4 linked regions of the Tamandua tetradactyla genome follow. The protein of the gene in region 1 interacts with the protein of each later gene in a pairwise test. Links are inferred from orthologs where the notes say so. Each region holds a gene or a part of one and is shown in the gene's direction. Other genes may lie near its edges. The genes, in order: CREB3, CDS2, ABHD16A and TSPAN4.

Region 1 (6,995 bases):
CCACAAAGGGAGCCGCAGAAAGATAGGGGGTTACAGAAAGGGACAAAGGGGAAGAGAAAACTGAAGGCAGAGCCAGAAAGTAAGAGGGTTGGGGGAGTAATACTCAGTCTGTTACCAAATTTGGCCTCTGAGTCCACAACTGTGGTGGTGGTGGTGGGGGGGGGTTGTGGGTGAGACTGACATATCCGGCCTCAAGCTGCCGGAGGCTCTTTTAGAGCTGGACTGGGCAGCTGAAGGGCTGGGCCTGACCTCCCCAATACACATCCTCCCCGCATACACCCCTATCCCATGCACACTTCTCTTCCCCAAACACACCCCCATCACAGAGCTCTTTCTCACAAAGCTACCTCCATGGCGTCTCTTTGTATATCTGTTATCTCAGTCACCGAGCCCTGACTCAGATGCCACTGCAGCCATTTGATCTTTCCATAAAGACTCCATCCAATGCAAGCAACTTCCCCTCTAAATACACCCCATCTCAAGCACACAGCCCCCCTCCTCCCAACATCCTTTTTTCCTTTAGGTATACATTTTCCTTCATTCACCCAGTAAGCATTCTTCATTCACTCAGTAAGCATCCCCAATGTGGGGAAGGCCGAGGGCCAAAACTTTCAGTGGGTGGGAAGGGAGATGAGTAAGACAACAGCTTTGCCCTCTAGGAGCTCCCAGTCAAGAGGATGGATAAGTCAAGTACAGAATTACAATAAAGAGCAGGCTGTGATAAGAGCCATCTGATTAGGTTAGGGAAGGTGGATAGGAAAAGTCCCCATGAAAAAGTTGTCCTTTGAAGTTAGATTAAAAAATAATAATGATAATAAAAAATGATAACGATCTGTCATTTATTAACTATATGTTAACTGCTTTGTATACAAAATTTCATTTGATCCTTACATGTAACAACCCTGCAAGGCAGGCATCATCTCCATTTTGACAGATTATTAAACTGAGGTTCAAAGTGAAGTACTTGTTCAAAGAGCACTTGTCCAGAGTCACACAGCTAATAACTTGTAGAGCCATGATCTGAACCCAGGCTTTCTCCACTAGGCCACTGGAGATGGGTCAGGGGTAGCATTCCAGGCAGAAGGAAGAGCATATGCAAAAGTGGAGAAGCAGGAAATTGTGGAGGAGCATTCGGGGAAGTGAGCAGGTAGGCTGGTTGAAGCATGGGTGCCCGCAAGGGAGCAGTGGTGGGGAAGTTAGGGTTAGGATGGAAAGGCAGGGGAGGACAAGAGAGGATAATGAGGAGTTTTACATTCTGGAGGTTAACAGGAGGCCAGGGGAGGCTTTTGAGTAGAGAAGAGATACGATCAGGACTGGATTTTTAGGAACATAACTCTGGCAATTACCTAGGAGATTGGTTAGAGAGACACCATATTAGCAAATGTAAGTGATAATAAAGCCAAGATTAGAATGGTGGAGAGGAGGATGTCACTTTAAAGAAAGTTTAAGAGGTAGAACTGACAGGACCTGACAACAGTCTGTCCTGTCAATCTTATCAGACAAGGACTCACGGTTAGGCTGGAATTCCATAGCTTCCTGTCATTGGTAGTAGCATGAGATTAGGTAAGAAAATGGGAAGACGGAGGACAGATCAGGCTGGGCTGGGAATATGAGGATGAGGCTGTGGTTAGGGTGTATGGTTAGGCGGTGGGAAAAATGGATACGTGGTTAGTAGGCAGGTAGGGGCAGATGGGGTGTGGTCAGTGAATGCATCAATATGGGGAGGGAGAAGACTAGTGGTGATGACAATAGTAGGAAATATGAATATATGATCAGTCACTGGATCAGGCTGGGGCAAGGGGAGGAATGAATATGTGGGCAGTAGATGTCAGACTCAGAGAGAAAGATGGAGTGAGGTCAGAGGCCAGATCAGGCTAGAGAGGGTAGGGAAGAAATAAGGCTGTGGTTAGTGGCCAAATTAGGCTGGAGATGAGGGTGAAGGGACACTGGCTGTGGCTAAGAAAAGCTGGAGTTTGGGGGTGGAGTGTGGGGTATAGCCAGTGGCAGGGTCAGGCTGGGTATGGCATAGGGTTGTGGTCAGTGGCCGTGTCAGGCTGGGTGTGAAATGGGGGTGTGGTCAGTGGCCTGGCTGGGCGTGGGATCAGCAAGACCCAGTTTCCTCTTTGGGTCTCATTTCCTCTTTTCTGTTTGGGGAGTGGGGGAAGGGGATCTGCAAATGGACCAAGAAATTCAAGGAGGCTAAGAATTAAAGGATGGCACACAGCAGGGACTGGGGTGTTCAGCAGTTGCGTTGTGCTGAAAAAGGGTGGTATAGATGGAGTGGGTGAGAATGGGAGAAGAGTGCTTTAAAATGATGGGAAAGCTCAAGTTTTGGGGTGAGGGTAAAGTAAGGTCAGATGTGTGGATTAAGAAGGGGAGAGGGAAGCAGAATTAAGGTTGGGAACTTAAGTAAAATGAATAATAAGAGAGGGTTAAAGGCAAGGGAAGTATTCGTGTGAGGGAATGAAATGCAGGGCCAGGAATGACAGTTGGAGAGATTTAAAAAACATTTAGAGAATGAGAGGACAGTGAGAGGCAATGGGGTGAACTTTTGGGGGATTCAGCCATTCTCTTCACCAGGGCAACAGTGTTTCCTTGGCCGGCTTCTCCCTTAGTCACTAATCCCTTCTCCCTTAGTAGTCCCCCATTTATGATTTGGCTTTATACATTTCTTGGGCCTCTATCCCCACTCTACCTCCCTTCTTTTAAACAAAAGAGTCTAGGAACTCCAGTCCTCCAACTTTTAATGACCACAATACGAGCCCTGGTCTTAGAGGATGGGATAGAGATGCTGGAATCCTAGACACCTGCACTTCCAACTGAAGCCCAGAACTCTAGCTTGAATTTAGCCCAAGAAGCTCCCTGTGACTACAAAGGAATGAGACCTCTGCCCAAAACAAGGGCACCTACCTACCAAGAACTTCTTAAATTTCACCAGAACAAGTTCAACTACCCTGACCTCAACCATAACCGTAAAGTTGCCCCTAATTCCTAACATTAACCCCAACCCTAATTTATTTTTGATCCCCAGTACTGGCTTTGACATTCATCTCTTTCACAGCAGAGATGGTAACCCAATCCCTGATCTATAATACCGATCTGATTTTTACCTTTGGGAACCCCCTCAACCTTAACCCTAAATGTTGATCCCTAAACCTAAAGCTCATGTGTAACTTGATTCCTGACCCACTCCTTCACTGCTTATTCCTCATACCTAACCACGCCAACGATCTTTAATCCCTAAAATGTAGGTCTAACCTAATTCCCATTTGTTGACCCCTTAACTCTTAACTCTGACGTCTGCTAGCCATCCTAAAAAACAAAACCATGATCTTAATCTAAACCTTGCCTACAAACCGGACCTGACACATTAATAACTCTAAGTCTTAACTCCTAAAGCTAACCTTGAATCCTAAACCCTATGCCACTTAATACCAAACTCACCCAAAGCTTTCCTATCCACATAGCCGCTATCAACTAACCCCAAAGCCTATCCGCGCCCCGAGCTTCACTGCCAACCAAGTCCTCCCCCTCCCCCAAGCCCATCTCAGGAAAAGGACTGCTCCCAGGAAGGGCTTGGCTCCAGCAAACAGCCTACTTAGTTCTGAATCCAATGCGACATTCACTAACTGGAAGCTGACCTCTCCAAGAGGATCCGAAACAGGAGACGCAGGAAGAGTCAGCGGCCCCGCCCGCGCGCCAGCCCGCCTCCCAGGTCCAGCCTCGCGGCCCCACCCCGCCGTTCCCGCTCGGCCCCGTCCGGCCTACCTGCGCTGCCCGGCTCTGTGCCCCGCCCGCCGGCCCGCTACCCCGCTCTTTCTCCCGGTCGTTCTCGGGCTCCGGCCTCGCCCTCCCGCCGAGAGACACTCTCTCGATCACTTCCGTCCCCGGAAAGTCCCCCACCCGCGGGCGGCGCCCTGAGCCCGCGCTCTATGGTTGCGGGGACTGCAGGAAGCTGCTCTGGCGCCAGCTCTCGATGCTCGGCAGCCCGCCGAAGACGCGCAGCCCCTCCCCGGCAGGAAGCAAGGGTGCGGCGCGGTCGGACGAAAACGTCCGAACCGTGCCCAAGTTCCCTTTTAGTCTCTAACCCTTCCTTTTCTCGTTTTGGGCGAAGGCGGAGCCGGATCCCTAGAATCCCCGCCCCGTGGGTGTGAGGTGGCCAGCAGGAACGTCCGCTCTAGTTTGCATAGCCCCAGGGACGTGGCGCGGCCCCAAGGCCACTTCTGCATTGGGAGGAACTTCATGTCCCAGAATGCCATGAGGGCTATAAGCGTCACTTCTGTTGTGTTGGAAGCTGAAGAGAATCGGCTCTGGGAGGCGCGTCAGACTCTAGAGGGGAAAGCCCGGCGGAAAAGAAACCCTACGATATTTGGGGGAGGCATACTGGGCTGGAGGTTATTCCTGGGGCACGGGATTTGGGGCTGGGTAGATGGTCGAACCCCCCGTGGAAACCGATATGGACCTGGCGCTGGGCCCCGGTGACCAGGACCTGCTGGACTTCCTGCTAGAGGAAAGCGGAGATTTGGGGGCGGCGTCCGAGGAGGCCGCCGTGGAGGTTCCGGAGGAATGGGAGCTGCCACTCGCTGAGGTGGGTGAGAGTTCTGTGTCGGGGAGGCGCGGGCCGGAGGGGGAGGGGGGCATTCGTGAAGCAGAGATTTAGTAATCAGTCACAGCCCATTAATTTGAACCCTGTGCAGGTACTGAGCGAATGGGAGGTGGAGGATTTCCTGACCTCCCTGCTGAGCCCCCCACCATCGTTGAACGTTCTCAGCTTCTCCAACCTCTGTCCCGTTTACCATGATCACACCTACTCCCTCCCACAGGAATATAGCTCTGTAGATCTCGGTGAGTCTGAAATAAATGAAATTTGAGAGAGGAGAGGGCTCATGGACCTGGCTATTCTTACTTTCTTGTTTGCAGATAGTGGGAGCTGTGGAAAGAAGGGGCCCCAGATGACTCCATTGCAGGTGGAGGAGCAGGCAGAGCAGGTACTTGACTTATGGGAGGATTAATCCCAAATTGTATGGGGGGGGCAGGATTCCCCATTTTCTGACATCTTCATGCAACTCTGCTGCCCACCACCCCATAACCCCAGGAGATTGGTAGTCTGATACTGACCGATGAGGAGAAGAGGCTATTGGAGAAGGAGGGGTTTACTCTGCCTGGGACTCTTCCTCTCACTAAGGTAAGAGTCCTATAGGGAGCAAAGGCTTGTGGGGAGGGGACACTGTATGAGTGCCAAGCAGGTCAATCCTGTTAATTGTATTATCAGTAACTTGTAAAGGAACTGAGGTAAGAAATTTAGCAAATTTGTTGCTTGCAGGAAGCTGGGGCATGTAGTTAATATGCTAGAAATAAAAGCAGATGCTGATTTTGTGGGGTCTGAAGCTTATACAAATTTTGATGTTCTTTTTAAGAAAAAAATTCAAAATTATCAGTGCAACATTAGTATAAGGTCTCAGCAAAGACTGTGCCAAGTGAGGGGCCCTGAAACTTAGATATCTATGGCTTTATGGTAATCCACCTCTTGCTGAATGGTAGAATTGAGCTTTAGAATTTGACAAGGCTGAACTCAACAGTTTAACGAAAATAAATGTAAATTCTTGATTTTTAAGTTACAGGCAATGAGTGATAATTTCACAAGCACAACACTGTGATACAGTGATAAAATCAATGTTCATTGACAGAAAGATTAAGGGAATTTTAACTTCTTAAAAAAGTACAAGATGAGTCATTAACATGAAGTGGCTACTGAAAAATGAATGGGATCTGGAGACTCTATTGATAGGGGTGTTGCTCTCCTTAATTAGTGAAAGCATTTCTTAGTGTCCCGTTTGGAACCCAGATCATTGACAGTTATTAACAGGATGGAGTCCACCCTGAGGAGAGCAGGATGATGAAGAATTACACATTTTGAGCAAGTTTTACTTTTGTTTTTAACTCTGAGGAAGATTGTGAAGAAATGTCAAGTGCCAAATAGCTAAACATGGTTTATTCTACATGGTCCCAGATATCAGACACTAAAGCCCAATGGATAGAAATTAGGAGGCAGATGTTGGCTCAGGATAAGAAAGATTTTAAACTTGATCTGGGTTTGTGGGAGTATTAACATCTGACACTTGGAAGCATTCAGACAGAAGTCTAGTGCTTGTTGGTCAGGGACACTTTGGAAAAGGTTTCCTACATTGGGAAGAAGATTGAACTCATTTACTCTCTAACTCTATGGTTCCATGTTTCTCTGATGTTCCTTTCCTCTCTTCTCCCAGGTGGAGGAACAAGCTCTGAAACGAGTGCGGAGGAAGATTCGAAACAAAAAGTCTGCTCAAGAGAGTCGTAGAAAGAAGAAGATGTACGTGGGGGGTCTAGAAAGCAGGTATGAAGGGGAAAGGGACTCTGAGAGGAGTTGGGGGAGGAGAGATAGTTGGCTTTTGAAGGGAAGATACAGGCCATATGCTTGTCTTATTCCCCTAGGGTGCTGAAATGCACAGCCCAGAATCTGGAGCTAAAGAACAAAGTACAGCTCTTGGAGGAACAGAATCTGTAAGCAACCCTCCAGTATCAGTCCCTCCTCTCCTTCCCATTTAATGCTGTCTTTCCCCTGCGCCACACTTGATTTCTCACTGGGCAGCTCCCACATGTGAGGCTGGTACTTGGACTTCTCTTGGCTCTGATTCCAAGAAGCTTGCAGTAATGGGGAAATAAATTCAGAGTAACTAAGGATAAATAAGTACCAAGTAAGAGAAAGGAGGAAAGCAAGAAAGACCTCATGGGGCAGATGGCATTTAATAGGGAGTAGTATTCTGGGAGTAGTGAAAGCATTCTAGGCAGAGAGAATAAAACATAGTCCGGTTTGATTGGAACCGTAAAATGGTAGAGTTGGGACCAGAAGGTAGAGTGCAGGGAATGCCTGGTGAATATGATCTGCCTAGTTGATAGGGCATTAAAAAAAAACACTATAGGTATTTGCAAAGGAGTATAAGTCAGAGCAAGGCAGA
Region 2 (7,309 bases), on another chromosome or scaffold:
TTCCATAGAAACCATCTAATCAAAAGTTACTACCCACAATTGGGTGGGTCACATCTCCATGGAAACAATAAAAAAGATCCCACCCAGCAATTTTGAATGAGGATTAAAGAACATGACTTTTCTGGGGTACACAATATTTTCAAACTGGCACAGTGTGCTACAGAAAATTTAAATTTTGGACAAAATAAATATTTCTTCCTTTGGTTTCACACAGAATTTGAAGTTTTAAAATATAAACATAGCCTCCTTTACGCTGTATTCTGATTTATCTTAGTCCTAACCGTACAGCTTCATTCATATCTAACTGAAGTCTGATCTCCTTTTTAGCTTCTTTAACAGTTGCAATATGGAGTGATGCGATTTTCAGAGCCGCAGAACTCTTAAGTCCCAAGTGTCATAAAAATACCCAAAGTTTCAGGGAGCTACCAGGTTGCACATAAAGAGCACAGCATCTCAGAATTTAGAGTTAACAGCTAAAACTCAGCACTAAATGTGACTGCTGTAAGAGCTTACCATCTAGGAACCTTTACAATGAGCCTTACTGAACATTCTGCACTCCTTAATTATCAATTGCCCAATCTCTGTCCACTTTCTATCTCTGTATAATTTGTGCTCTCAAATTTAATTATCAGAGTTTGCTCATTATAGTTAGTTTATATTAGTGAGACCATACCATGTTCGTACTTTTGTTTCTGGCTTATTTTCTCATCATAATATCCTTAGGGTTCATTCACCTCATTGCATCTTCACAACTTCATTCCTTTCTGCAGCCGTACAATATTCCATTGTATGTATACACCACACATTGCCCTTCTGCTCATCAATCACCATACTCTTGGAACACCTCCATCCACTGGCAATCGTGAATAATGTCACCATAAACACTAGTGTGCAAATGTCTGTTTGTGTACCTGCTTTCAGTTCTTTGAAGTATTTACCTCATAACTGGATTTCAGGATCATATGGCAAGCCTTTTCTTAGTCTCCTGTGGTTCTTCCATATTGCCCTCCAGGGGAGTGTTCCATTCTACTTCTCTAACAACAGTTAATAGGTATATTTCTCTCTCCACCTCTTCTCCAGCACTTGTATCTCTCTGTTTAGTTTTTTTTTTTTTTGCATGGGCATGCTCCGGGAATTGAACCCGGGTCTCCAGCATGGCAGGTGAGAACTCTGCCACTGAGCCAGCATTGCCTGCCCTTTCTATTTAGTTTTTTAAGCAGTTTTATTTCCACACCATACAATTCATCCTACATGTACAATCAATGGCTCCTGGTATAATTACATAGTTCTGCATTCACCACCACAATCTATATGAGAACATTTCCATTTCTTCTGCAAAGAAAGAAGAGAAAAAATATACCATACTCCTCCCTCATATCCCCCTCTTATTGACATTTAGCTTTGGTATATTGCCTTTGTTACAATTAATGAAAGAATATTATAGTGTTACTGTTAACCATAGATCCTAGTTTGCATTAATTGTATTTTTTTCCTATGCCATCCTATCCTATTTTTAACACCTTGCAATGGTGACATACATTTATTCTCACTCATATAAAAACTTTCTTATATTTATACCTTTAAATACCATGATTGCCCACTCTAGGGTTTGCTATGTTATACAGTCCTAATTTTCATCCTCTGTCTTCCCTTCCGGGTCATATATACCCCTTGCCTTCCTCTTTTAATCATATGCACACTCAGCTTTGTTCATTATAGTTACAGTATTGTGTAGCATCACACAGTATTGTGCTATCCATTTCTGAATCTTTACAATCAATCTTGTTAAACATTCTGCACTCCTTAAGCACCAAAATGCTCAAACTCTACCCTCTTTCTATCTCCTGATAACCCATGTTCCTAACTCTCTCAGAGTTTGCTCATTATAGTTGGTTCATATTAGTGAGACCATACACTATTTGTCCTTTTTGTTTCTGACTTATTTCTTTCGACATAATGTCCTCAAGTTTCATCCACGTTGTCACGTGCATCATGACTTTATTCTGTCTTTCAGCTGCGTAATATTCCATCGTATGTATATACCACAGTTTATCCACTTATCTGTTGTGCTGTTTCCATCTATTGGCAATCGTGAATAATGTCCCCATAAACATTTGTGTGCAAACGTCTGTTCGTGTCCCTGCTTTCAATTCTTCTGAGTATGTACCTAGTAATAGGATTGCTTCATCACATGGCAATTCTATACATAGTTTCCTGAGGAACTGCCAACCTGCCTTCCAGAGCAGCTGCACCATTCTACATTCCCACTAACAATAAATAAGTTTACCTATTTCTTCACATCTTCTCCAGCACTTGTAGTTTTGCTTTTTTGATAATGGCGTTCTAGTACGTTTGAGATGGTATCTCATTGTGGTTTTGATTCACATTTCCCTAATAGTGAAGTTGAGCATCTTTTCATATACTTTTGAGCCACTTGTATTTCCTCTTTGGAAAAGCGTCTGTGTCTTTTGTCTATTTTTAAAATTGGGTTGTTTTTTTCTTGCTGTTGTTGAGTATATTTCCTTTTATAAATAATTAATGAAAGACAAAACAAAGCAACATAATAGCCTGAACGGAGTGGCTTGTTTCTCCAAAAAAATAAGTATATGTGCAAGGAGTTAAATAGAAAGACACATCTTGAGTTCAGTGCTCCTCCAAACTTATTTTACTTAACACTTCAGAGCACTGATAGAGCAACATGGGACTGTTTTGCTGTAGGAATCAGAAAAATATAATGTCCATCTGGAAATTTTCACTACTTTCCCAAGAGCACACAGTTCAAGCCAAAATTATTAATGTGAAGTTGCAGCATTGTACGTGTGCAAGCTTCCTCTTTGTTGATTACAATATGGTTAAGGGGCAGGAATCCCATTTTCTATTTGTTTTGTTTGAGATTACTGACAAGGCAGTGAAGAGGAAGTGCTGAAAGCAACGTTGGGGCAGCACGGGTGTAGTAACAGTGAATTCAAGGAAGCAGTACAGTAGTATGGTTAAAGAGTGTGTTCTGGCTCTGGCCAGGTATTTTCTAGTCGATGGACTTTGCCTACATCGTTTTCCTTTAGGAAAATTTAAAATCCATTCAACAAGTCTGGCACTTGTTGACAAGTCAGAACGTGTCAGGCACATAGGGGATTCAGCAGTGAACAAAGTTGGCAGTATTCCTGTCAAAAGAAGTACACCGTACACAACAAGAAATTTCATACCCCGCGGAAGAGCTTATCTGTAAAAACGAAAATAGTACCCCTTTCAAGCACTATGCCGATTATTATGAGATAAACCAGGTAAAATCCTCGGTACCTAGCACATAATTAGTGCTCAATTATTCCTAGCAACGGCTTGGCAAAGCAACGCAGCGTGAAGTTTGGGTGTCTCTGCCTTATCACGTGCCTCCCTCTTCTTACACAGGTCGGCTCACCTGGCCCCTCCACCCCGGCCTACTAAGCACCCACTGTGTTTGAGGAAAGAGCCCCGGCCACGGAAGACAGCAAGCCGAGGAAAAGCACTTTCAGGCTGGAACCTCCTGGCCATTTCCTCTTGCCCTTCATAACCCGTTATCGCCAGGGGCCAGAGAGCCAGAGTCCGCTAGCCCAGTCAGGTCAGAGTTCCCATTGGCTAGTCTCCCTCGGACACACACGCCTTTCCCCGCCCCCTCACGCTTCTGTCCAATGCACGCCTCTCCCCGCCACTAAGTCCCGCCCCGTCCCCGCCGCCGAGCTTTCCTGGCGGGTTCGCGCCATTGGTGGATCTCCCCGGCGGTGATGGCGGTGGTGCGCGTGCCCGGAGGAGGGGTGGGCCGGCCGGGGCGGGGGAAGGCCGACCGCGCTCTGCCGGGGTGACAGGGTGGCGGCGCTGGGCGGGGCGAGCTCGGGGGTCCGTGGCTGGGTAGCGGTGGGGCCTGTGAGTCGCTGTGGAGCTGCGGACCGCTAGGGAGGGACGAGGCGAGGCCCGCGCGCGCTCGCGCTGAGGTGCCGCCCGGGAGGCTGCGCTGCTCGCCCGCGGTTGCGTTGCGCCGGGGTCCAGCATGACGGAGCTGAGGCAGAGGGCCGCCAGAGAACCGGACTTACCGCCCGAGGACAAGGTAGGGGCGGTGGCGGGGGTGGGGGCGCGGCCGGGAGGAGCGGGAGGTCGTCTGGCTTGCAGACCCTTTGTCGCGACCGACGGCGGCACCGGGGCCTGGGCAGCTTCGAGGGGCCTGTGGTGCGCGGCCCCCGCGGGGCGCTCATTGGAATCAGCGGATCGGGGCGATCAGACCCCCTGGCCCGGCTCTGGGGTCTGTAGGGGGTGGGGCGTGGTATCCCCGGACACAAGCAGGAGCGCGGGGAGGGTTGCTCTCGGCCGTCTGCTCCTCACGGCGGCCTGGGGTCCCCCTCCTTTCCCCCACCTCGTAGAGGCCTTTGTGGGCGTGAAGACCTTCAGACCCCGCAAAGCCTGCTCTAGGATGCGGCTCCTCTGAGCGCGACTTAGGTTCTCTGCTCCTTTGAAATTTTATTATTTTTATTGTTTGGGGCGTAGGGGCGATCAAGGCATGCCTTAGGATTTGCCTTCTAGGAGATTTAAATCTTGGAACTGAACTCGGTTGGCTCTGAGCAGGAAGGTTTCTCGAGTCACGTAGTGAAAATCCCTCGTTAGTCAGCAGGTGTTGGAGGGTATTCTCCGAAAGGATGGTTTCGTTTCCCGCTTCAGGCGTGGGCCTTGGGGTAGAGGAGGAGGAGGGTAAACAGGAGGCCATCTTGGTGGGAACACGGCTGGTCGGGGGACGAGGGGCGCGGAAGGAGAGCCTTCAGCAGCAGTGTAAGGTTTGTGTCGGGGAGTTGAGAAAGGTGGACTGTGGTTGTGTTATGGAGAACATTGAATAGCCGCGTAATGGTTGGGACTTGGTGTTAGTATTTGTGCTCTTCCAGTTAATAGTGGTCAGGGACAGCGTTATTTGAAAACTTAAATTGGCAATGATGTGTAGAATGGACAGAATGAAAGAGGCTGTTTAAACTCAGGGCTTGCCAGTTTTTTGTTTTTGGTTCACATGTTGCTTTAATAATCAGAAGATTTCGCCCAATAACCTGAACTTCTTGTCTATTTTGGATAATTGGAAGTTCTGCAGGCACTTTCCCACCTGTTATCAATTGGCTGAAACTGAGGAACAGTTGTTCCTATCAGTCCTTGTTGCCGTACCTCTGGCCCTCTGCACACATGTAATCTTTAGTTTTTGATTACGGGAGGAAAGGGGCGTTAGACATCAGGAAGGAAGAGAGCACAGGATTTGGTGACAGGATGCCAACAGTGGTTAAACTAGGAGGACTCTTGTTGACAAGAATAAGGAAGAGTTTGTGGGCACCGTCAGGGGCTTATTTTGGTGAAAGATAACAAGGTTTTAAACCACTTTGTAATTGTTGATGGTGGATAATCCCAGGAGAGCTTCCCATATTGGTTTTTAGAATGTACTATGGAGAGAATTTAGGGCTGGGGATGCAGATTTAGGAGTCACTTGCAGAGACAAGGTACTTTGAAGTCGTTAATTTTCAGATTAAATATCCTGCCTCACCTTAAGGGACTCTAGTCATCCGTCTAACTGGTGAGTATTCAGATGCCTGGAGGGCATGTAGCCTGTTTAAGTTTCTGGGTGACAGACTGTAATTGATGTTAATGAGACCGTGGGCCTAGAGGATTTGAGAAGAGAGAGATAAAAGAGCTGCTACGTTATATTTTCAAAAGCCAACCATAATAGGGTGCACGGGTGGTTCAGCGGTAGAATGCTCACCTTGCATGCAGAAGACCGGAATTTGATTCCCGGACCATGCACCCCCGCACCCCCAAAAAAGACCTATTTATAATAACTACATATATATACTTATTGTGAAAACTCCTAGGATAGGAGGTGAAACAAAGTTTCTGCACTCTCTTCTGCCTGCCGGTTCCGGCTTTCTTAGATCTGTCTGCCAGAGATAAAGTGTTAGTTGATTCTTAAATACTTTATCATCCCAAGTTTTAGGTAGATAGGAAGGGCATGAGGAACTGTCCAGCTCAAGGTGTCTTGATAGTTATGGTTGGCACTTAAACCACTTGTACAGTGGTAGGACGCCTCTGGTTGTGAGGTCCGCTGGTTGGATGTTGTTCCCTGAAACATAACCTCTACTGCATTCTATTAAAAGCCTGATACAGTATTAACCTCAAGCAAGGCAGTCAACCCTCCATCACTCAGCATTTCTAAGTTACCTTGTGTGGGGTTTTTAATAATGACACATTTTAAGAACCCTAAAAATGCATTATTTGCGTTTGATGTATAAATGTATTAGAATTTTAAAAAATCCTATTTAATTCTGTTTCACAATTTGGGAAAAATCTGCTTCTATGATTCTGGCTTTGCTGATATCCTTATGGTAGAACCCAAAGCAATTAGAAGTAATAAAACAAAAGATGTCTTTTTAGGGAAATGCATTGTGGAATGGGAGTTCACTTACATCATAGCAGAAGAATTCAGAGAACAATTTCAGGTCAGTTCTTTAAAAGAACTGGAACGCATTTGAGAGAGTCCTTAAATTGTTACAATTGCTTAATTACTGTGGCAAGAATGTCTTGTAATTAAGCACTCATTAATTTCAAAATAATTTGGAGAAAGTGTTTGTTTTAAGTCAGAGGTATTTTATTATATTTAGCATCCTAGAATAGAAGTTTCAAAGCCGGTTACTAAGAAAGGAAATGGTCTCTTCTGGGAACAGTGCTTATAATTTTAAAATTCCAAAGTACAGTATAGTTGCCAAACTAAGGAACTTGGAATTGAAACTTTGGGAATGATTCTCTTCCCACTCAATCATGTTTTTCTAAAGGTACTTAGGAAAGAAAAGGATGAAACATTGCAGTCTACGATTCCCGGTGCCTGCCCATGTTAAAAAAAAAAAAAAAAAGATTGCAGTCTTAAAACTTATGATTGGGTGGGCAATTTTGGAGACTTTATTTTGGAGGTTATAGTGAAGGTTCTGAGGTTTTCTTCTTTCCTTAGATACTGCAGTGCTAGTTAAATTAGAACTTTATTTGTTTCATGCTTTCTTTTTTAGATAAATGAAACCAGAAATAGTTCCATCCATTTAGAAAGGGGAATTTTAAATTTTAACTGAAGGTAATAGCTAACTGGGGCTTAAGAGTCAGCCAGATCCATCTCGAGCCTGGATTCGGCCTCTTACTAGCTATGTAACTTTGAGCAAATCACTTATCACTTAACTTGTTTAAATCTCAGTTTGTCCATCCTTAAAGTGGGGGTAGGATAAAATAGCATCTGCTTCATAGTGGATCTGTGTGAACTAAGTGAGTTTGCATG
Region 3 (8,008 bases), on another chromosome or scaffold:
CTTTTTTCTGTGTTCTCTGTCCTTCAACACTTTTATTTTTTGCCCTATTTTATTCCATCTCTCTATCCATCTCTTACCTCTTACCCGAGTCTCGTCCCTTCCCTCTTCCTCAGTTTCCCCCATATGTACTTTGGTTCCCCCGTGACTCATTCCCCACCATTGCTTAAGTGTCTGCATTCCTGTCTCCTCTCTGTCCACCCCTATCCTTCCCCACCCTCCCCACAATCAAGACTTCCAAGAAAAATTAATACATTTAAAAAATTATAAAAAAATTTTAAAAGTCTGTTCTGCTGGCTCAGACCATCCCTTCACTGGCTGCAACAAGACAGGGGACCACACCTTTTTTTTTTTTTTACGTGATGGATAATGCTCCCTTCTCCCCCCCTCCCCAAAAGCTCAGCTGCTGGAGACCAGCTGGACTGTGAAGTCACACTCTCAGCCCCTCCCCCATCGCCAAGGTCGCTGGCGAGTCCTTCAGGTGCCAGCTGGCGAGAGAGACAGCAGGTCACACTTCCCAGCAGATGTCACTGATATCATCTGGTCTTGGGGACAGGTGGGCTGTGGGGTTTGAGAAGCAGAGAAGTGGATTGAGAATATCTTCATTCTCCACATCCTCAGAGAACAGGGCCCCATCCCCATCCCTAACCCCAGTGTTTCCTTCCCCCTCCCTGCCCCCTCTGGGATTTAGACTTCTGCCCCTTAGTTTTTCCTTACCCCAGACGGGCCAAATGAATGTTCTCATAGACCTGGATTTCGGGTTTGAACTGAGGAATCGATGCACCTGGGGAGAAGGAGCAATGCGGGGTTGGGAAGAGAAGAGAGGTCACCTAATAACACAGTTGTTCGTTCCCACCCCCTCCGTTATAGGGGGTTGGGTATGGGGCAAGAGGCGAGGGCTCTGCTCCCTGCGATGCACCCTCTTCTTCTAGGTGGTAGAGAGGGACCCACCTCTGCGCTGAACCCCCTGGACCCGCCGCCTCCAGAGCATGATGCCAAGTATCAGGATGGCAAATCCCTGGCCTGCCGCGAGCAACAGCATCAGGACCCAGGGCACATCCCAGCCCGTGGCGGGGGCACAGACGGAGGGAGAGGCCCCCACGGAGGCTGCATTAAGGGCAACACAAGAGGGATGGAGAGGGAGTCAGCGCAGGGGCCTGTCCCCGTATCCCAAAGAGAGCTCCACCCCACAGCCCGTGGCCCAGTGGCTTTTCCAACAGAAGACACCATGAACTTCCCTCCCCTCGGTGTCTAGCACTCCAGTTGGCCCTTTCTGGGCCACCCACCCTGACCCCATGAGCCAACATCAATAGACAATGGCACTGCCCCCTGCCCACTCATGGAGAGCTAACTCCAGAGAGAACCACCCGTTGTAACTGTGCTTTTTCCTTGGGCTCTTCAGAGTAAACCACCCGTTCAAGAAAAAGTAAAGCGCCTTACATTTATCCATTCTTCTTTTCATTCACTCCATCACCATTTGCTGCATACCCACCCCAGGCTGTGTACAATATTAGGTGCAAACGATGGGGAGGTGAATAAGACTCAGTCTCGTTAATTGGCCTTTGCACACTGAAATAAAGGCCATTTGCTCCTCCCTGCTGCCTTGTAAATGGATTATTCTTAGCTCAACAGCATTTCTTCCCTGTATAATGGACTTTTTTATTGCAAAACAATTATATATTTTTCCTCCTTCTGCCTTCACTAACAATGGGCCAGTATAACATCAATGCATATATCCATTCGTAAAAAGACAATTCCCCCATCAATAACTTTTTTTTTTTTTTCAATAATTCTTATTGTCTTCCTCTCTGCAGTTGAATGGTCCAACAAAAATCATAGATTATCCCATTTCTTAACCCTGGCATATTCCACTAGAATCCTTTTCCTGTCTCTTAGTTGATGGAGGTCTTTAAAATGCCCCCCGCCCCCCTGCCCCTGCCCCAGTATTTTACTGGAAAGCAGGCTTAGCCAGCTCCCTTCTCTGTTATGGATTTGGTCAGTGAGAAAAAAGCCTTCCTCCTCCAGGCAATGGTCTGCTCCATTAGAAGTCACCCCCTCTGACCTGGCCAAGGATGGATTTGGCTCCTCCCCTAGCAAGCAGGTGTAGGATATACAAGAGGCAACCCATCTTTCCCATTTCCTTCCTCAGTTTACCTGCTAGGTTAAAGCTGACTACTGCTTTGTTCTGGGGCAAGAGGCAGCGGATGATTCTTGGTCTACGGCTTCTGGGCTCAGGAAGCCCCTCCCCAGGACACACCAAAAGCAGGGCAGCCCCCTCATTCCAGAAGGACTGTATCCGGCCCTTCACACGCCCCCTTCCCTCCTGCCAGGTCACTGAGTCCAGGCGTCTGGCTGGGACCACAGAGCACAGGAGGAAAGAGCAGAGGGATCCGTTTCCAGCCCTTGCAGAAAACTGGGTGCCTGTGGGGTGAGAAGTGACCCCCTCAGTTTTTGGCCTGTGCCTCCCTAGACCCCACTTATCCCTGATCTGTAAGCCCCATTCACCTCTGAGCACAGAGACGTCGTACACTCTCCAGTTCTGGTACTTGTGGTGCTGACCCAGCACGGCACACCAGTACCGCCCGGCGTCTCCTTCCTTGGACTCCTCCAGCCGCAGAGAGTGGTTCCCCAGCAGCTTGGGCCTGGATTCTCTTCCAGGCTTCCCAGGGTCTGCGGCTGGTCTGGCAACTTGAACTTGGGTCACAAGGGTAGTAGAGGAGCCTGCTGCAGGACTGTGGAACCAGGACAGTAGTTCGTCCCCATGCAAGGTGGGTGGTGAGGGACAAGGCAGCTCCACGGCCTCCCCTAAGGCCACATAGATGACCTGCAGGTTATCTGTGGGGAGGGTGTTGTGAGAATTCAGAGACCTCTGCCAAACCAACAACCTCCCAGTTGACCTCCAACCCCTAGTCTACTGCCCTGATGGGGTTCCCAACACTGGCCTGGGTGGTGACCACATTTCTCAAGTGACAGCTACAAAAAAAGAGAGGTAGAGAGAAAAGAAAAGATAGGGCATTCCTTCCCTCACCCCAGCCATTAAGGGTTCTGAAGGCTAGAGGAAAACAATGGAATAGTTTGTAAATACCCATTGTCTCTTCCTCTCATTTCTCCTTTGCTGGAAGCATTTAGTCATCCATTTCTTATTTTCTAAAGGAAACAGTGCATGGCCATGTGCCTCACTGTTTTTAGGGCTTCCCTAATATTAGAGGCAGTGGAAGGCTAGTTGGGGTAAACTTACATTCTTGAGTCAGATGCCTCCCTACGGCCACTAAGGAAATAGAGCAGTGTCCCTTCCCCAAAACTTCAAATAGCTGAAGAACCCCCCACCTCCTGCCCCTTACCTGCAGCAGCCTGAGGGGCCCCGCACAGGAACAGAAGGAATACGACCACCATGGGGACAGCTGACCAAGTTCTCATGTCCCGGGACGTGGTATTCTCAAGGAGGAAACAGAGCCCAGATAAAGACCCACATTCCCTGGTCTGAAGTGACGTGGGTCTTGGATGGGGATGGGAATGCTGGAGAGATAAAGCACAGTTGCGTGTCCTCTGAGGGAAAAGTGACCACGGCTTCTGTCTCCTACGGGAGAAGAGGAGGAGAACCCAGCTAAGGCCACTCCACAGATGGCCTCGGCTAAGGGACTCAGCTCAAAGACTCTGTCTGCCGCCCATCAGTCTAGAAGTACATTCTGTGGTCTCTCTTCCACCACTAAGAGAAACCAGCCATGACAGGAGATGTCGAGTCTTCACGTCCACTGGACCCAGAACAGGGCTGAGTGTTCAGCTGGCGCTCTGTAAATGATTTGGAATGACTTTCCCTGGTTGATGAAATATTCCACACATGCAGAAGACTGTACTGTTTAGGAAGTGGTTAAAATCGGAAATTTTGTGTTGTATATAAGTTAGCACAAGAAAAAAAAGGCTATATAGGATACACAACCATATAATGGGTAAATAAACTGTGGTATAGTCACAAAATGGAAGGCTTGACAGTAATGAGAATAAACTAACTGCAACCACTCGCTACAAGGTTGAATCTCACAGACATGAGCGGCAAAGAAACCTGATATAAGGAGTGTGTACTGTATGCTTCCATTTATATAAAGTACAAAAATAAGCAAAAACTAATCTCTGGGGTTGGAAGGGAGGATAGTGGTTCCCTTGGGGGGTGGGAGTGACTGGTAGCGAGTTTTTAATGATCTGTTGCTCATCTGGGTGCCGGTACATGGATATATTCAATGGACGCACTTTTTTTTGTATATGTGTTTACTCCAATAAAAAGCTGAAGAGAAGATATATTATGTAGGTGTAAGATACCAAGGAAAAACAAATCTGTATATCTACTAAGAACATTACCATTTCAAAGATCTTCTGTACTGTTTTAACCACAATGTTAAATTTGCTTTTTATCCTTTGCTTCATCATTAAATTTTGTGTTTTTAATCCTATACAATAGTGGCGTGTTGTATGTTTTCTATGATTTTATTTTTTTCACTCAACATTATGGTTTTGAGATTGTCCATGCTTATGGGCCATCATTCATTCACGTCTTTTGACGACTATTCCACACCTCTTTACAATGCTGAGTCTTTCTAGGCACCACCATGGTATAGCTCTTAATTTATTCAAGGCTTCTTTAACTTCTTTCGGTAACTGTTTACAGTTTTCCTCATAAAATCTTGCATTTCTTTTATAACATTTATTTCTAGATGCCTTATCTTTTCTATCGCTCTTGTCAAGCGCTCCTATACCTAACCCCTCCTTTTCACTCTCGTTCGAAAGTTTGGCAGGTATTAAGGGACTGAAAAAAGATTTTATTATGCCTGAAAATGACTAACTTCCCGCGTGCCAACGCCTCCAACTAATTTCTGACCACGGTTGAATCCGTAGGTTGGACTGCGCGAAACTTTTCTCAAGAGAGCGGAAAACGCCTCGATTCGCTGAAAATGTCTCGATTCGCCACGAGGCGGAGCCAGTACGCGACGACGTCAAGGGCACGCTTCACCTCAGCGGCTCGGGGAGGGCGGGGCTAGCAGGGGACCTGCTGCGGGGAGAGCAGCGGCCGGGGCCTGGGCTATGGCGAAGCTGCTGAGCTGCGTCCTAGGCCCCCGGCTCTACAAAATCTACCGGGAGAGGGACTCTGAAAGGGCCCCGTCCGCCGTCCCTGAGCCTCCAACTTCAGTCACCACCCCCTCTCCCAGCTCCTGGGTGAGTCGAGTTACCCCCCTATCAAAACCATGGTACGCTCCAACCCCCCTTGCGGCCTTTGCTACTTAGACGGGCCCATTATCGGAAATAGGGGGAGCTTGTTTGTCAAGCCATTTGTCCGCAGAGTCTCCCTCTTTGTGCTTCCTGGGTTAAAATCACGTCTGTGGAGTGGCCGCCTGCCTTCTTTATTGCTCTTTGGGCACCGCTTTCTCGTTCCGACTTACACTTCTTGCTTTTTCCTCTCCGCGGCCCTCTACCCTGTCTGTTGTGGTTCATGTCCATCCAGATTGATTCCCTAAACCCTGGAAGATTGGGGAGCTGGTGGATTTTGCTGTAAAACTCCCAGTTTCTGCTTCCTCCGTGCCTTCTGGTGACTCGCCCGGCTCCAGTTTATCTTCTCTTAGGCTGGCCTTGAATTTCAAAATGACTTCTTCAACGTATCGTGTATCGGTTCCTCGCCCCTCCCTTCCCTCCCCCCTCTCCGGTCTAGCCTGGAGACCTCTGCACTCAAGAAAGCTGAGGCGTGGGCATGGTGGTAGAGTGAATCCCTAAATGTTCTCTTCCTTTATCGGTAGTCCCAAATTATGTTTACTAGCCCCTACAAACTACCCGCTCCAGTAATTCTTCCCATGATTTGTCTCTTCCCTGATCAACCTGCTCTTATTTCTCATGCTCTTTCCCCCTTAAAGTGGTTATGGTGTCTTTCCTTTGTTCTTTAATCCCTCTTCCCTGAATGCACATGTTCACAACCCATTTGAAACTGGGTTGTGGAAAGGGAAAAGGTCATCCTATGCTGCTTTCATTTTTCTTCCAAATCCATTTCTCTGCACTTGTTCTGGGTGAGAAATCAGCCTCAGGGTGGGGGTGGGAAAGAGGGACTTGAGGGTGCCAGACAAGGGACTTTGCAGTAGCAGAGAGAGTCTTGGAGGCCAGAACCAGAGGACACACACCTGGGCTTCTGAAAGGGATGCGGAAGCACTGTCAATGGGTAGGGTCCTTAACTAGCCCATCTGTTTTGGCAGGATACCTACTATCAGCCCCGTGCCCTGGAGAAACATGCTGACAGCATCCTGGCACTGGTATGTTGGCCCTGGCATCCGGGACTCTCTTGCTTTTTTTCAGACCCACCTGCCCTCTTGAACATGCTTCTCAGCCTAGAAGAAGGCAGTGGCCCTCAAGGGTGGGGGTGCTCTGGGCTCTGCAGCAGACCTCTCCAACACATACACTATACACTGTCAAATGAGCATGTTTGACGCTCCCCTTTGGTATTTAGCATTACTTTCTCTGGGGTAGCCTGAATCATAAGGTAAGCGTATTTACTCTTGGGACCATCTACAGGTGCTAAGTTCTGCAGTCCCCAGTGACCTGTCCTCCCTGGTAACTAATTTCTTTAGTTGCACAGACAGCTGTTCCCTCTGGCAAGGTTCCTATGGTGACATTTGTGCACCTTTTGGGGACGAGGCCAAGGGCTGTCCTGAGCAGGGCCAATTGAGAAAGCTTGATTAATTTGAGTAGAAGGAGAGATTGGCCTTTAAATGTGATGAAATTATGCCAGTGACAACCTGGGGAAGAAAATTGAACCTGTACCTGGTTTTGCCAGCCTCTGTTATGCTCTGACACACTGCCTTTCAACAAATATCAAATACCTACAGATGATGATGTCATGCACAGAACAGGTACCTACTATGAGTATTCCTCAGTTTACCCACAACCTTGATCAGAGCCTAGGCCTGGCAATGGCAGATCAGTGTACATGTGTGTGTACGCACGTGCTTATCCATGTGTACGCGTGTTGATGTATTGCTTGCCTTCCCTGGTCTCTCTGCTGCAGGCTTCAGTCTTCTGGTCCATCTCTTATTACTCCTCTCCCTTCGCCTTCTTCTACTTGTACAGAAAAGGTCAGTGTGGTTTCAGAGGTGATGGGGAAGGAAATGGGCAGGTTTTTTGGCAGATGTGCTGGCCCCCTAAAGAGGATAAGCCTGTGAGCATGGCTTAGCTGCCCTTTTCTAGCAGGCTTCTTCCCCTGAGGGTGTGGCTGTCCCAAAGAGAGAGCCTCAGGGGAGGTTGAGGCTGAATGAGGGAGGAGCCTGGGGACTGTGGAGAGCTTCTCACATGGTCCCATTCCCTTTCCAGGTTACTTGAGTTTGTCCAAAGTGGTACCCTTCTCTCACTATGCTGGAACATTGCTGCTACTGCTGGCAGGAGTGGCCTGCCTCCGAGGTAGGTGGAGGGGAAGCCAGGTTTGGATCTGCCTATGATTGGATGAATATTTATTAAGTACCTTCAGCAAATACAGTTTGGTGCTAGGCTGTGAGGGGGATAGCTGAGAATGGTCTAAGGCGTGATCTTTTCCTTAAAAGGCGTTAGTTGCATATATGAAGAGATAACAGAAAAATTTGCCATTGTTTAGAAAAGATGCTTTGCCCTACAACCCAATATTTCCACCCCTGTGTTATATATATATATATATATATATATATGTATGTATATACACACACACACTAGAGAAACTCCTGCGCATGTATGAAAAATATGTACGTCTGAGAATATAGCATATGGCATCGTTGGTAATAACCTTAAACTAGAACAATTCTTATGGCCATGAATAGTCGGATAATGTGGTATGGTCACACTTCAGAACACCGTGCAGCAATGCAAATGAACAAAATAAAGCCGCATCTGCCAAAGCACACAAATTTCACAAACATGTTTGGAAAGGAGCTGGCCACAAAATAATTTATTCAGTATGTTTCCATTTATATAAAGTTCAAAAGGGGCACAAATGCAAGTAGCAAGGCACTAAAGG
Region 4 (7,884 bases), on another chromosome or scaffold:
AACATCATTCATGGCAGCAGGCACACCTCCTAGCCAACTGCAGATGTAATCAACAACAGATGAGGTTCATGTACCATTGGCTCATGTCCACAGCAACAGAACTATGTACCTTCACCTGGTCAAGTTGACAACTGACTCTAACTACCACATGTCCACCCCTTGTCAACTTGGCAACTACTTGCATCACCTTAAACAATATTAAGGTGCAAAATATTCTCTTCTGACTGTGGACCTGTGAATCTCAAAACAAGTTGTCTGGTGCCAATATGCAAAGGAGGATATTCACAGGATACAGGTTTTCATTTCCATGGGGAGAAACTAGAAGGGAAAAGACCATTGGATTTCAAAGTCTGAAAGTCATTTATCCTTCAGCTTTAGAAAGTGGCAGACCGACCCTTTCCAAGGGCCTGTGCAGTGGCCGGCCTCTTTCTGAATCAACCTCTGGGGACATTGAGGAGACCACCTCTGGGCTCCACTCTCTCCAGGCATCAAGGCCACACCTGGCTCTCTGCCATTTCCGGGGCACACGCTCAACCCCTCCATGTGGTGGCAGCCAGGCTCTCCCCAGTCCCCAAGGAGCGTGTTGTACCTTCTCCAAGGCCTGAAGCTGCACAACTCTTCCACTGCAACAAGGTGGGAGGCTCATCCTCGCCCTTCAGGGTAAACTCACCCTCTCCATGTATATGGGTGGGTCCACTCTCCTCGAGGTTTCTTGGCTTCAGACCCAAGCTTCCATGGTCCTCACTTTGCAAACTCCCCAATTTGTCCCTTTTGTGTCCCCTTTGTCCAGACTGGCAGTGGTTCCATTTACGCCAACAGTCTCTTCAAGCACTCCAGGACTTCTCCATCCTTCTCTTCTCAGTTCCTCTAAAATCTTCCCCTTAGCCATCCAAAAAACTGTTCCAACATATCTGATGTTTGCAAACTGCAGCAACACCCCACTCCTGGTACCAAATCTGTTCTAGTTTGCTAGCTGCCGGAATGCAACACACCAGAGATGGATTGGCTTTTAATAAAAGGGGATTTATTTCATTAGTTCTTCAGAGGAAAGGCAGCTAACTCTCAACTGAGGTTCTTTCTTACATGGGAAGGCACAGGGTGATCTCTGCTGGCCTTCTCTCCAGGCCTCTGGGTTCCAACAACTTTCCCCAGGGTGATTCCTTTCTGCATCTCCAAAGGCCCGGGCTGAGCTGCAAGTGCTGAGCTGTGGTATGCTGAGCTGCTTGGGCTGTGCTGTGTTGAATCTCTCATTTAAGCACCAGCCAGTTAAATCAAACATCATTCATTGCAGCAGGCACCCCTCCTAGCCGACTACAGATGTAATCAGGAACAGATGAGGTTCACATACCATTGGCTCATGGCCACAGCAACAGAACTAGGTGCCTTCACCTGGCCAAGTTGACACCTGCCTGAACCTAACTACCACAGGGGGCCTCCTCACTTTGCACGGGGGTCTCACTCGGCTCCTCACACACCTCGGTGGGCTCAGGGGTGGGCACCTCCGACCCTGCAGGAAGTGCAGGAAGCCTGCCTTGGGGTGTGGGTAGGGGATGGGACCCTAACCCACAATTAATAGAAGAAAGGGGTGGTAAACAACTGGCGACTAATGTCAAGTAACTTTACCTTAGGGGCACCCTGTGGAAGTAAATAAATGTGCTGGGAGCGAGGGGTCATTGGCCGGAGGGCAGGTGTTCTTGCTGCGTGTTACCTGGCCTTCCTTTCATCTGCCTGAGTTGTGTCTGTGTAACTATGTGTTGATAGCTGGATATTTTGTGTTAAATGGTAGATATTTTTTGCTTTCAATCTATATACAATTAGAGTTTTCATCCCCAAAATAACTGACTATGGAATAAACAGTTCAAAAGAGTAAAAAAAGTAACAGGAGGGGGTGGAGGGCTTCCTGGAGGAGGAGGAGGAGGCCAGGAGAGTGAAGGCCAGGACTGGCTGCCATCTCCGACTGCCCTGGACAGGGTGGGGCCAGGGCCCGGGATTCCTTGGGGGGTGGGGGTCCCAGGGCTGGAAGGGCACCTGGAGGCCATTCAAGTGACCAGGGGCTGACTTGGGGCCGGTGGCAGGGAGGGTCAGCTGGCCTGGCTCTCTGTTGAGTCCATGTCCCATGCGGGAGCACTGGGGTGTGAGGAGCAGGGCTGGGGGTCTGTGAGGGGTGCTGGTGGGGCTGCCCTTAAGGCTCCAGGTTGGGGGGTATGGGGTCCTGGCACTCTTTCTCTCTGCCCCTTCCTTGGGGGTGTAGGGGCTGCCTGGGGGTGCCCGTCCCTGTGTGGGTGTGCCTGTTGCTGGCAGCTTGGGGTTGGTGCTAGGCCTGGACAGCCGGAGTGGCCCCCACGCCCCGCCTGCCTGCTGCCCCTGACCCTCGGCGGTGCACCACTTCCAGGCCCTGGAGGCTCACGGAGGGCGGGGATCCCCATGTGGGATCAGGACAGCTGGGTGGCTGGGCATGTGCAGACCCTGTGGGCTCCTGGGAAGTCACCACCCCCCCGGCCCAGGGCTGGGAGTGGTAGGCACCGCCTTGGGCCCCAGGGAGCTCGGCCCCTCTCCCCACCCTGCACTCCCAGTGGTGGGAGGGAGACAGGCCAGCCCCAGGGTCAGCTGATGTGGCCTGGGCCTTGGGGAGAGGTGGGAGCATTGCAGGCTGCCTTGGGGTCCCCTGCCCAGCTGGGGGGCTGGATCCTAGGGGGTGAGTGCTGTCAGTGCCTCCTGAGTCTGCATGAGTGTGTCTGTGTGTGAGTACACGTCTCTGCACACACGTGCAGCGTGCCTCACACGTGTGCTGTGCCTTTGCAGTGTGTGACTGTGCCCCCATGTCCCTGTGGGGCGCCTGCCCCTGCTGGCATCTCAGTGGAAGGGGTGGAACTTGGCGGTGCAGCCTCCGGGAGCCACTGGCTGTGGCTGCTGTGCGCCTTGGCTGGGTGGGGGCACCTTGGCAGGGCCAGGGTCTCTGTGGGCTGCCTGGCCACTCGGAGGCTTCCAGGGGAGAGCAGCCCAGGAGGGCTGGGCAGGTGGCCGGGCATGAGGAGGGGTACGCACAGGTGGGGCCCGGGCACAGCCCACCTGGCCCTCACGGTGGGCAGCTCAGCCCCTCCCAGCCTGGGAGCCCCCCTCACCCCCACCCCGGGCACGGGCTGCCTTGGAGCCTGGGCCACATCTGTCCCCAGGGTCCCCGCCCCAGGAGGAGGGGCTCCTGCGGGCTTGTGGTGGGCTCGAGACCAAGCCCAGCCAGTGAGTCCCCCCAGCCCGAGGCTCTGCGCGAGGGCCCTGCTCCATCTGCGTCCACTCACGGTGCCTGTCTTGGGGACAGGGCCCTCTGCATGGGCTCAGGCAGGGGCTCTGGGCAGCACAGCGGGGCAAGGGGCGCCAGGGGTCCCACCCCCCCCACTGCAGCCCCCCTTCCTCAGGCCCACTACCCCCAGGGCTCAGCCCACGGCTGTGAGGGCCTCAGGGCTGGTCAGCGGTGCCTGTGGTCCCCTCCCTCCCTCCCTCCATTTTCCTTCCGTTCTCTCCCCCTGTGCTCCTCTCTGCCCCCCCCCGCCCCCCCCACCCCTGCTCCCCTCCCCTGGGGCATGCTCACACACTCGGATTCCAGCTCCCCAGCCCTCAGCCTTGTGCAGTTTCCTGAGGGGCACCCTGCCTGCCTTGGGCCCTCCCCAGGCTGGTACCAAGTCTGGGGTCTCTGCCTGAGCTCTGCACCAGGGGTCTCAGGCCCTGTCCTCTGAGGCTGGGGTGGCAGGGCTGGGTCCAGTTCCCTGGCCTGGCTCAGTCCAGTGGTCAGAAAGTGATTAACTGACACCCACCAGTCTTCCCCATGACGCTGGGTGGATCACGGTGAGGACAAAGCCTTGAGGCAGTGCTCCCCAGCCTGAGGGCGCCACGGGCGCTGGGCATCTGACCTCACAGTGCCGGTGGTGTGGGTGTCGGGGGCAGGTGCAGCCCTGGACTGGGAGCCTGGCTCAGGCCCTCACAGCAGGTATGGGGGGCACCCCTGGGAGGGTGCGGGGTCCCCCAAAAGCGGCCTCCCGCTCGGGCTGGAGTAAATGGAAATCTGGGGACCTTGTTCAAATCCTAGGACGCTGACCAAGAATCCTGGGACGCTGCCCCTTCTTCAATCCGCAATCTCCCCTACACCCTCCAAACGGGACCCTGGCCTGCTCCCTGGGGTGGGCCCCGGAGCTGTGAACCATCCGCCAGCGCCTGGACCCGGCCCAGCGTCCCGGCGCCACCCTCCAGCCCTGGCCCCCCTCGGCGGCTCTGCGCTCCCCAGCCTTCCCCAAGCACTGATCCCCCTGAGCGGGGGGACCCGGCGCTGACCCCTGTCCCTGAGCAGGGCCGGGAGTTGGGAGCTGCTGCAGAGCGTGCTCCCCCCTGGGGCCGGGCTCCCCCCTGGGCGCCGCGGCGCTGGGCTGCGGGTCTGGGGGGGCCCGCCCCTGCGTATGCCCAGCGCTTTGTCTCCGCCTGGGCCGGGGGCGGGGCGGGGCGGGGCGGGGAACCCGGCGCCTCCCCGCGCCTCCCTTGCCCTTCGGGCGCCCTGGATCCCGCGCCAGGGAGGGTGGGCCGCGCGAGGGGCGGGGCGGGGGGCGTCGCCCCGGGGCTGCGATTGGTGGAGCGGGGGCGGCTCGGCCGGGGTTTGCGGGGCGGCGGCGCGGTGGGGCGGGGGCGGAGCGGGCGCGGATTGGCCGGGCGGTGCGGAGCGCGGGGCCATCGCGGCCGGCTGGGCAGGGGTCCGGTGCCCGCCGCCCCCGGGGCCGAGCGGAGCCCGCCACTGCCGCCGCGCGGGGCCTGGGGGGCGAGGGGAGGCGCAGACGGCATGGGGCGCGGGGCGCTAGCGGGGCGCTAGCGGGCGGGAGGGCGGGCGCCATGCGCCGCTCCAGCACGGACGAGTCCGCGTACCGGCGCAGCCCGTCGCCGGACGGCCGGGAGCGGGGCTCGGCGCGCGGGGGGCCCTTCCGGCGCTGCAGCAGCCTGTCCGGGCGCGCGGGCGGCGGCTCCTGCTTCGGGACCAAGGCGGCCCCGCGCCCCCCGCCGCCCCGGGGCCCCAAGTATGTGGTCTTCTATCTGGACCTGTCCTTCATCTTCCTCCTAGAGCTGAAGCGCTGCAGCATGGCGCGCGGCTGCCTCCAGTGCGTCAAGTACCTCATGTTCGCCTTCAACCTGCTCTTCTGGGTGAGTCTGGGGCGGCGCGGGGACCGGGCGGGACGGGGGGGTGGGGGTGGGGCCGGGCCCCTGTCCCGCGTGCCCTCCCGAGCCTTTCCGGGGCGGGGTGGGGTCTCTGCCCTATGCCGCGCCCGAGATCGGGGTTCAAGCTGGGTCGGGGCCAGCACTGCCCACCCCCCGCCCCGCGGTCCCGGGCTCGGATCCCCCGGGGCTGCGCTCCCTGCGAGCCGCGAGGCTTTGGCTGCCCCAGCCGGGCTGTCTGGGGAGGGTGCGTGCACACGTGTGTGCATGCGCGTGTGCATGTAAGGCCGGGTCCCCCAGGCTGGCGAAGGTGTCGGGACCCTGAGCAGTGGCTGGAGCTGGGGGCAGGGGGCACCTGGCTTTCCTGCTGCTTCCTCCCCCAGTGTCACTTCCCCAACTTTTGCTGGGGCAGTTTGGGTTTGTTCAGATGCCAGTGGGAATGGGCTGGGATCTGGGGGCTGAGGACACGGACCTGGGAGCTGCAGAGGCATGGACACAGCTGCTCCCCCACTCCTAGCCCCATCACTGCAGGCAGGACACCCAGGTGTCACGGCTGACCAGGTGGCAGGTAGCCTTACCTGGTGTGGGTCCTGTCTAGCCGCTGTATCCCGAGAAGGGGGCTGGAGTTGGGAGAACCTCTGGGGTTGATCCTGACTCCCTGGATCAGGGTGGGTGGGGGGCCTAGTGGGGAGGGGGCGCCCATGGCCTCACCCCACCTGACAGTCCTCAGCCCACCCTCCTTCCATGCCTGGACAAGGGGCTGGCCCTGCTGCTCTCGTGCCTGGGCGCTCCTTTGCAAATGGCGGAAGCCTGGGGCCGTCCTGTACCACCCCTCCCTTCTGGGCCCCCACTCTCCTCCCCCAGCTGTGGGTGGTCGGGGTGGGGTACTGGGAAGGGCAGCCAGCCAGGCCATCCATGGGGGTGTCACCCAAGGAGACTCCCATCCCAGAGGTCCATGCCCAGAAGGGGCACTTCGGGGTTTGCTCTCTGCCAGGTGGTCCGGGAGGGGCGAGGAGTCCAGGTCAGCTGCAGTAGGCAGGGGCCGAGGCGGGCAGGGACAGCGCAGCAGGTGCCGGGGTGGTTGGAACCGAGCAGCGGGCAGGGCTTAGTGTGGGTGCGGCTGTGGGGACAGCATGACAGCTGGACGATGCCCAGGAGCTGCCGGCGACCGGCCACAGGCTGGCAGCTTGCGCTGAGGGCACCGGGCAGTGCAGGTGGCATCACGACGGGGTCGGAGCTGTGTCTGGGCAGTGGCCCTGCGCCCAGCAGTGACCTGGACACCTGTCTGGAGGGAGGAGGGAAGGGTCCCTCAAGGGGGCCTGTCTGCTCTGAGCCCCCCCAGTTGGAGTGCATGGCCTCATAAACCTGAAAAGAACAAGTCAATAGGCCCCCAGCCCTGGCCGGTGCACAGGGTGGGGCCAGGTCCGTGGGGATTGGCTGGGGGGGCTGCCCAGCGGCCCTGGAGGGGGCGCACCCTCCTTGTCCCTGTGTTCCTGCTGGGCTCGGCCCCTCCTCTCCTGTGGGTGACGGGGCGGCAGGGCTTGGAGTGGGGCTGGGCTGCTCTCCCGACCCTGCTCTGCCCCCGCACTTGTCAGGGTGTTGGGGGCGCTGGCCTGGCCCCCACTGCCCACTCAAACTAGGAACCCGGGGACGGGGTGGGGGGGGTAGAAAGGCCCGCCTGGAGTGTGGTGGCCTCAGTTTCCCCACTGGTGCTGGCGGGTCAGGGCTGGAGTGTGTTGAGACCTTGCTTGGGGACCCACAGGTGGGGACGGACCCTGCGCTCCTGGGCCCCGGCTTGGGGTCAGGGCCTAATGCCCACATGTAGCCCCCTCTACCTCCACCTGCCTCCTGGGGCCAGAGCTGGGGGGACCTGTCCTGCTTGGGGTGTGGTGGGGACCCGTGGTGCTCTCCTGGGGATGGGCCCTGGCTGTTACTAAGTGCGGGTTTGGTTGACAAGTGGCCTTGGTGGGCGGGGAAAGGTGACCGTACTGTCCAGCACGTGCTGAGGGCTGCTGTCTGCCTGGGTGGGCCGTGGAGAGGGAGGCGGCCCCGTGTCCTCGTGGCTGATGGTCAGAGCTGGGTGCCTCGAGACCAGGGGCACATTTATGTGGGTGCACGTGGGTGGTGAGGCGCAGCCCCTCAGAGCTCAGAGCCACCTGGGCCTGAGACCCCTGCAGAGCATGCAGGGGCCACAGACGGACGGATGGACATGCCTGGCCTCCCTCCTGGGAGCCCTGTGTGGCTGTGACATGGGGGGGGTCCACCTCAGGGCACAGGTGGACGCCGGGCAGTGGGAGTGTCCCCTGGGGCAGTGGTCCCAGCCTGTGGCCTGCGTGGCCCCTGCCAGTAAAGCTCTTCCTGGGCTGGGGGCTTCCACAAGGGCTGTGGCCCGTCCCCAGGGGTGGGTAGGCCATGCGGGCGTTGCAGCTGGCCAACACTGCCTCGGGTCTTGGTTTCCCGCCATATGCACCACCCTGAAAGGAGCCATCGGGCAGATGCGCAGCCTGCAGGGTCTGGGTGGGGGCCCTGGCACCCACCACCACGCAGCTGATGTCCCTGGCAAGGGGGGGGCTCTGCCATAAGCCTGGGAGGTTCCCCGAGACCCTCTGGGCAGCCCCACCCTGTGTCCGCCTCCATGGCTGATTGCGTCGCTCTGGGCCTCTGCACAGACGGTGCTGCCCCTCGGCTGTGCTTACC

Evidence for each region.
Region 2: the proteins of CREB3 (region 1) and CDS2 interact in a two-hybrid assay, tested with the Homo sapiens proteins (2 studies listed by BioGRID and IntAct). The two-hybrid records come from large-scale screens. The link is inferred for Tamandua tetradactyla from reciprocal best matches to the Homo sapiens genes CREB3 and CDS2.
Region 3: the proteins of CREB3 (region 1) and ABHD16A interact in a two-hybrid assay, tested with the Homo sapiens proteins (2 studies listed by BioGRID and IntAct). The two-hybrid records come from large-scale screens. The link is inferred for Tamandua tetradactyla from reciprocal best matches to the Homo sapiens genes CREB3 and ABHD16A.
Region 4: the proteins of CREB3 (region 1) and TSPAN4 interact in a two-hybrid assay, tested with the Homo sapiens proteins (2 studies listed by BioGRID and IntAct). The two-hybrid records come from large-scale screens. The link is inferred for Tamandua tetradactyla from reciprocal best matches to the Homo sapiens genes CREB3 and TSPAN4.

Annotation. Positions count from the first base shown.
Region 1 is NC_135328.1:60,057,218-60,064,212, reverse strand, and holds the start of CREB3 (cyclic AMP-responsive element-binding protein 3), read left to right. Parts: upstream 1-3,988; 5' UTR 3,989-4,429; coding exon 4,430-4,588; intron 4,589-4,673; coding exon 4,674-4,845; intron 4,846-4,920; coding exon 4,921-4,988; intron 4,989-5,095; coding exon 5,096-5,185; intron 5,186-6,266; coding exon 6,267-6,373; intron 6,374-6,471; coding exon 6,472-6,540; intron 6,541-6,995. UniProt on the Homo sapiens protein: Endoplasmic reticulum (ER)-bound sequence-specific transcription factor that directly binds DNA and activates transcription. Plays a role in the unfolded protein response (UPR), promoting cell survival versus ER stress-induced apoptotic cell death.
Region 2 is NC_135327.1:55,673,673-55,680,981, reverse strand, and holds the start of CDS2 (phosphatidate cytidylyltransferase 2), read left to right. Parts: upstream 1-4,296; 5' UTR 4,297-4,661; coding exon 4,662-4,796; intron 4,797-7,309. UniProt on the Homo sapiens protein: Catalyzes the conversion of phosphatidic acid (PA) to CDP-diacylglycerol (CDP-DAG), an essential intermediate in the synthesis of phosphatidylglycerol, cardiolipin and phosphatidylinositol.
Region 3 is NC_135331.1:87,286,182-87,294,189, reverse strand, and holds the start of ABHD16A (phosphatidylserine lipase ABHD16A), read left to right. Parts: upstream 1-4,996; 5' UTR 4,997-5,070; coding exon 5,071-5,202; intron 5,203-6,224; coding exon 6,225-6,281; intron 6,282-7,033; coding exon 7,034-7,100; intron 7,101-7,335; coding exon 7,336-7,422; intron 7,423-8,008. Other genes in the region: lymphocyte antigen 6 complex locus protein G6f-like, read right to left, coding at 949-1,104, 2,152-2,418, 2,503-2,832, 3,339-3,414. UniProt on the Homo sapiens protein: Phosphatidylserine (PS) lipase that mediates the hydrolysis of phosphatidylserine to generate lysophosphatidylserine (LPS). LPS constitutes a class of signaling lipids that regulates immunological and neurological processes.
Region 4 is NC_135335.1:678,599-686,482, forward strand, and holds the start of TSPAN4 (tetraspanin-4), read left to right. Parts: upstream 1-4,869; coding exon 4,870-5,175; intron 5,176-7,884. UniProt on the Homo sapiens protein: Structural component of specialized membrane microdomains known as tetraspanin-enriched microdomains (TERMs), which act as platforms for receptor clustering and signaling.